2 linked regions of the Saccharomyces cerevisiae S288C genome follow. The gene in region 1 interacts genetically with each later gene. Each region holds a gene or a part of one and is shown in the gene's direction. Other genes may lie near its edges.

The links.
Region 2: mutations in DDR48 (region 1) and YOR338W together harm fitness more than expected from each alone (negative genetic interaction), as found in Saccharomyces cerevisiae (one large-scale study listed by BioGRID).

The regions. Positions count from the first base shown.
Region 1 is NC_001145.3:606,481-610,558, forward strand, and holds DDR48 (DNA damage-responsive protein 48), read left to right. Parts: upstream 1-2,208; coding exon 2,209-3,501; downstream 3,502-4,078. Other genes in the region: HOT1 (Hot1p), read left to right, coding at 1-1,660; PAI3 (Pai3p), read right to left, coding at 3,679-3,885. UniProt on the Saccharomyces cerevisiae protein: DNA damage-responsive protein that may be required for maintaining the rate of spontaneous mutagenesis. Shows low ATP and GTP hydrolysis activity.
Region 2 is NC_001147.6:955,140-958,686, forward strand, and holds YOR338W (uncharacterized protein), read left to right. Parts: upstream 1-1,758; coding exon 1,759-2,850; downstream 2,851-3,547. Other genes in the region: TEA1 (Tea1p), read left to right, coding at 1-1,484; putative E2 ubiquitin-protein ligase UBC11, read right to left, coding at 3,223-3,547.

The DNA.
Region 1 (4,078 bases):
AAGAATGGACGAAATGAGTGCCCGAATGATTGAGATGGAGGAAAGCTTCAACAAGTTATCTAATAAGATCGCGGAACAGAATACAATGGTTTTAAACCTAAAACAAGATAACTATAAAGTTATGAACAAATTGAATATATTACTTAAGTTGGTTGCGCAGCCAAGCGCGCGCCCAAGCACAAACAATGCCCAAAATAAGCTTGCTATCGAATTGCTAAATTCGATATCAGCCGTTAGTAGTGCTTACTTGCAGAAAATGCAGAATAATGGCTCTGGTAGACAGCATACTGCTGATTTATGTACAGGAGATTCCAACACCCATTCTGGTATCAACCAGCATCGGACTACGAATGGAACCATAGATGTGAATACGAATACTGCACAGCTAAACAACCAATTTTCTAACGCACTAAATACTATCTTACCTGATCAGCAGCATAATCGAAATAATGTTTCCCAAAATATAAACCAATCGCTCCCTAACCGACAACTTGGTCCTGTTATAAACACACAAGCCAATCAGAACCAGTCGCAGGTTTTAATTCATAACACAAATACACATCAGCAGGTAAATCGCTCGCCTATTAGTTTCCCGAACGCTTCAACTGACAAGCCATTCAAGTTGAACCCAAATGGGATTAAACGGCGCAGAAGAAATACGCAAAGTAACAACAATGCGAGCACAAATGACCATGCTAGTGCTGCACAAAAGCCCATATCAGCCCTATCTCCATTAACGAATTCTCATAATTCTACAACTAGCATGAATTATACCAATTCTTCCATTCATTCAGGCGTCACCAGTGCTTCAAATTCATTTCATGACTTAAATTCATTGAATAACTTTGGCACGACAACAGCTTTAAGTTTGCCCAGCTTAGCCCTAGATAACGCTTCTTTTCCCCCAAATCAAAATGTTATACCCCCTATTATAAATAATACCCAGCAGCCTCTATCATTTTCCCAATTGATCAATCAGGATAGCACGACATCTGAATTGTTACCGAGTGGTAAGTCAGGGGTGAACACGAATATTGTAAATAGAAACAGAGCTTCTACTCTACCGTCGTACCCAAAACCAATGACAGTGAAAAGTAATGTCGACGATGATGGCTATCAAGAGGATGATGATGATGACGGTGATGACGAAGGTGATGGAAGGGATAATGAAGAAGACAGCACTGCTGAGGAAGATGAAGTAGATGATGAAATCGAAACAGATATGAAGAACGCTTCGATTAACAAGCGGAGGAGGAGCTTGCATCATAAAAAAAGTAACTCTTTAAACGGTAGAAGAAAGCTTCACGGCGAGTCGGCTACTAAGCCCAACATAAACTCTGATTTACATTATAGGATATTGAAGGCTCCCACTGACGTAAAGACTATATGGGAAGAGTATGATACTGGAATAAGAGGAAAGCCATCGATCAAGCATCTTGAGGCCAAGTATGGTAACAAGTGGAGGCTCAATAAAAATAAGAAGACCTTTTCAAGGCGAAAAAGATTGTACAAGTTCATTCTGAACGGTATGGAGAGAGGTAAAACGGCACAAGAGATGATAGAAACCTTAGAGAACAAAAGGCTATATAAAGATGATGAGGATGGCGAAGTAAAGAAAAGAACCATTGGCTGGTTGCAAGAGAGCCTTGCTGGAATATAGGCACGTACGATAGTAAATAATCGTTTACAATCATAGGAAGGAAGGAAAAAACAAGTGTAACATAAATACATTCTGTAAATCTACAAAAATCGTTAGTGCTGTTTTCTTTTTGAGATTGAAAAGTACGAATCATACACATCTCTTATTCTGAGAAGGGTGCATATGACGTAAATCAATGCGTACAAAGCGGTTTCCGGTGCTGGCCTGGCCCACCACAGTTTTGGCGTGGTTGATTTTAAAAACCTTCGGGAAGGTGAAAAAACCACTCCGAAGGTTCGAGGATGACAAATCGCCCCTTAGCTGTGGCCATACAAGCTTGGCACCGACGAAAAAGGGAAAAAGGAAAAGAATGTCGTACAAGAACTCTTACAACCACGTTGAGATTTCATTTAACAACGCCCCCCTTTCCATTATATAAGAAGGCATTAATTTTTATGTAATAAAAAAAGAATTTCTCGAAAATGTCTTACAATTAATTTTTTCTTTTGTAGAGTAGGGCTTTAATAGACTGATATATACGGTATTATAAGTGAACGAAAAAAACAGCAATGGGTTTATTTGATAAAGTGAAGCAATTTGCTAACAGCAATAATAACAACAATGATTCTGGCAATAACAATCAAGGCGATTATGTTACCAAAGCTGAGAATATGATCGGCGAAGATAGAGTCAATCAATTCAAAAGCAAAATCGGAGAGGACAGATTTGATAAGATGGAGTCCAAGGTTCGTCAACAATTTTCTAATACCTCTATAAATGACAACGACTCCAACAACAACGACTCATATGGTTCTAATAACAACGATTCATATGGTTCTAACAACAATGATTCATATGGCTCTAACAACAATGATTCATATGGCTCCAACAACAATGATTCATATGGCTCTAACAACGATGATTCCTACGGTTCTTCCAACAAGAAGAAGAGCTCTTATGGTTCTAACAATGACGATTCGTACGGCTCCAGCAACAACAATGACTCTTACGGTTCCAACAACAATGACTCTTACGGTTCCAACAACAATGACTCTTACGGTTCCAACAATGACGACTCTTACGGTTCGTCAAACAAGAATAAGAGCTCTTACGGTTCCAACAATGACGATTCTTATGGCTCTAACAATGATGATTCATATGGTTCTTCCAACAAGAAGAAGAGTTCTTATGGTTCCAGCAACAACGATTCGTATGGTTCTAACAACGATGATTCATATGGTTCTAACAACAATGATTCATATGGCTCTAACAACGATGATTCCTACGGTTCTTCCAACAAGAAGAAGAGCTCTTATGGTTCTAACAATGACGATTCGTACGGCTCCAGCAACAACAATGACTCTTACGGTTCCAACAATGACGACTCTTACGGTTCGTCAAACAAGAATAAGAGCTCTTACGGTTCTTCTAGCAACGATGATTCTTACGGATCTTCCAATAACGACGACTCTTACGGTTCTTCCAACAAGAAGAAGAGTTCTTATGGTTCCAACAATGACGATTCTTATGGCTCTAACAATGATGATTCATATGGTTCTTCCAACAAGAAGAAGAGTTCTTATGGTTCCAGCAACAACGATTCGTATGGTTCTAACAACGATGATTCCTACGGTTCTTCTAACAAAAAGAAGAGTTCTTATGGTTCCAACAACGATGATTCATACGGCTCCAGCAACAACAATGACTCTTACGGTTCCAACAATGACGACTCTTACGGTTCCTCTAATAGAAACAAGAACTCCTATGGGTCTTCCAACTACGGTTCATCCAACAATGATGACTCTTATGGTTCATCTAATAGAGGCGGTCGTAATCAATACGGTGGTGACGACGATTACTAAGTTTTTGGATGTCTTCGATAAAAAAAATATATTATTGTGTTTAGACTTAAGTATGAAAATTTTATGTATGAGCTGTGGCTATGTATCCGCTGGCAAATAGGTCTGCTTTTTCTACACTTTCCACCCTCAACCTAACAGAGCCCGCTGGCACAAATAATCGATAGTAGGACAACAGAGCTACTCCTTCTTATGCCCCGCCCCTTTGAGCTTGTTGTATTGCTCTTGATAGTTGTGTTTTTCACTTTCATCAGCATCGGTAGTCTTGCCGTCCTTGTCTTGACTAGCCATTTTCTTAAAAGCGTCACTCACTACCTTTGCATCGCCCTGCAATTTTTCCTTTGAGCTCTGAAATATTTCGCTCACTTTTTGTTGGTCTGTATTCATTCTGGATGTCTTGGTTGTAGAAATTTCTTTTATTGGTTCATTAAAGTCAAGGTAAATGGCGAGAACTAGAATAGAGTTTTATTCTTTTTACCGTTATATAGATAATTCTAGCCGGGGGCGGTCGCCCCTGAGATTCCCGACATCAGTAAGACATAGTACTGTACGATTACTGTACGATTAATCTATCCACTTC
Region 2 (3,547 bases), on another chromosome or scaffold:
CTGTGTCTTCGTTAACAGCTGCTACAGACCCATCTACTTTTTCTGACGGTATAACTGCTGGTAATTCCGTCCTAGTTAATGGTGAACTGAAAAAACGTATATCCGACTTGAAGACCACCGTAATAGTAAGAGGACTAAACGATGATAATCCCAACTCTATCAATAACGATCCCAGGATTTTAAAATCTCTTTCCAATTTCTATAAGTGGCTGTATCCAGGTTATTTTATTTTTGTTCACAGAGAAAGTTTTCTTTATGGATTCTTCAATCACTCCAAGAATAACTATGAAGACTCAAGTTACTGTTCTGTCGAATTGATATATGCCATGTGCGCTGTCGGTTCGAGGCTTACACCGGATCTACAAGAATATTCAGAAGTGTATTATCAACGAAGTAAGAAGACTTTATTACAGCTCGTCTTTGATGAGCAAAGTACAGCCCGTATCACCACCGTCCAAGCGCTATTTTGCTTAGCCTTTTACGAACTGGGGAAGGGTAATAATCAATTAGGGTGGTACTTCTCGGGCCTGGCTATCAGGGTCGGCTACGACATGGGATTTCAACTGGACCCTAAAGTCTGGTACGTTGATGATAACAATCTGCAGCTGACCCAAAGTGAGTTGGAAATAAGATCAAGGATTTACTGGGGTTGCTATATAGCGGATCATTTTATTTGCCTGATGTTGGGTAGAACGTCCACATTAAGCGTTAGTAACTCAACCATGCCAGAGTCGGATGAGCTGCCAGAAGTCAACGGCACCGAAGAGTTCAGATTTATTGGAAGACATGTTTTACAGATATCCTTGCCTCTGAAAAACTTGATAATTCTATCAAGGCTTGTACAAATCTTCACCTCTAAAATTTTCATCGAGTCGGAAGATATAGCACGAAAACTAAAGTACTTGAACACTTTCAATTCTCAGGTTTACAACTGGAGACAATCTCTACCGGAATTTTTGCAATGGTCGAAAACACTCATCGAGAACGATGACGTATCCACAGACCCCACTATATCTTACTTCTGGTATTGCTACTACATAGTGCGGCTCACCTTTAACAAGCCATTTATAGAAGACTCTCAAGAATCCGAAACGGTAGTCATAGAGATCATCGATGATTTGAAGACTTTGCTGGACAATTTCGGGAAAAAATTCGGAAACTACACGAAGGGAAACCTTTACCAACTTTACTCATGCCTGTTGGCCATCAACTGTTTGAAGAAGTTGAAAGAGATACGTTCCAGTGAGCAAGACTCATGGAATGCACAATTGGATTTTTTCAATCACATCTTCTACACACAACTATATCCCGCATATGATCTGCCGAAAAAGCTGCAGGAGGATACGGAGCTGGAAACAGAACAAGAAAACCAGATGTTGAACCAAGTTGGAAATATAAACTACACGCACGATTTTTCACTCTCCCACGAAATTGACGATCTTATCAGAGAACTGTTTGGGGTGGGCACACCTCAAAAACTCTGACGATCTTTATATTTGTCACCTTTTCCGTATCGGCGGCTAAAAGGCGATGCGGTGCACAGGCGCGGGGTCCCTGGGAAAAAGAAATGTTCAAATTAACATTTCTTTTTCTTGTTTTGTGGCTCTTCTAGAAGGATTTTTAATCAGCATAGCCTGCGTTAAAATTTTTTACCGGATCTTATATATCTAAGACATCTACTCTGTTTAAATACTTAACGAACATCATAGAGAATCAACTAATAATATAGATTAGAAAAGAGAATTTTTTTCGACTGCGATGCTAGATAACATGCAATTTCATTCTCCAGCACCGGAACATCCTCAATTGAATGGGGGTATTAACAAAATTCCCGCTTCCCACAAAATAGGTTACAAATTAAACCAGCAAGTGCAGAGATTGGCTGTGGTCAGGAATAATATTGAAGAGAGATTGAACTCGATGGAATCCTCACACGGACAGATATCCGATAGTAGCGTTGTCCGTGCTATCGATGCAAGTATCGATGACTTCCTAATACCTTCACCTCCATTATCGCCAAAGCTGAGGCAATGCCCCATAATAAGCCAGCCTCAGCTGGTTAATGTGGAAAGCGACCATAGGGAGCTGATCATGTTGACCCCCGTTTGGGAAGCGGGCTTGAACTCTCAGAAGTACAACCATAATACAAGGAATTTCTTATCGCAATATAGCTTCTTCCGAGATATGAAAACAACGAAAAGGATTCCTAACAAAGAAAATAGGAAATTGAAAGTGGTAAAATCTGTTGTGAACTCAGAAGCTCTGCCCAAGAGAAGAAGATACGATAGGAAAATTAAGAGAAGATCAAGGGAGTTGTACGAAGATGATGGAAACAGGTCAGAAAACTATGATGAAGAAAGTGCTCAAGAAGTTCCAGTTAGATCAGTGACTCCGATACGTCAAGTTAAAAGGTCTCTTCATACTATTTCTTCGCCATTGGCCTCACAGGGCGTAGTGAATAATGTCCCCAAGTATATTCCAAGCATGTCGTGGGAAAAGTTGCCGGATTACTCACCTCCTCTTCACACTTTGCCGAATAGTAATAATAAAGTTTTAAAAGTGGAATGGAAAGGCTCTCCAATGGACTTGAATCATGATCCTCTCAAACAGCGTCTGCATCCTGCAGAACTAGTTCTCGCACAGATTCTGAGACTTCCATGTGATCTTTATTTGGACTCTAAAAGAAGATTTTTCTTGGAAAAAGTTCATAGATTCAAAAAGGGGTTGCCGTTCAGGAGAACGGATGCTCAAAAGGCTTGTAGAATAGACGTTAATAAAGCATCAAGGCTATTTGCAGCATTTGAAAAGGTAGGTTGGTTACAAGATAAACATTTTGAAAAGTATTTGTAAGAAAGAGGCGGTACGCCTTTGGGATAGCGTATCGTTTCATCGTTTAAACGAGCAAATTTGATAAGTACGGAATATGACAGTCTCATTGAGTAATACAGAATTGAGGCGTTTAAATGGTTATGGTTAAGGGTTACGGTTACGGTTTTTTATTCTTAGAACACATTTGATATATTTTTATTTATGGTTTTTTACATATAGATTTCGTTCATATATGAGGTTTTCTTTTTATATTAATTATATTTCTTCGGTTGTTACGTTATCAATTTTGTTATTGAATTATTACGGGTTATGAACGCCGTAGAAAAATAGCATTGGAGTTTGAGAGTCTGTGGCTTTTCTGTCACATCATTTTTTCGTCTAACTTAGGTTAACTCAGTAATCGTCGATTTCTTCATAACAGGCCAGGACCTTTTTTCTGTATTCCTCCATATCTGCATCCCAAAGTTCTGCTGCCACAGCGTTCAGCGGAGATCTGTTATTTGGTTCGCCAAGTAATGACTGCAATGACAATAGAATTGTTTCTACATTATACACTGCAGACCATTTCTCTTTCAGAATGTCCAAACAAATGTTGCCACTCTTATCCACGTTTGGATGCCACATTGGACTCAAAAATTTAATCATTGGCGGATGGAAAGGATAGTTTTGAGGAAACTTCAATGAAACCTTGAATTTAAGTCCACTATACGGTGTGTCT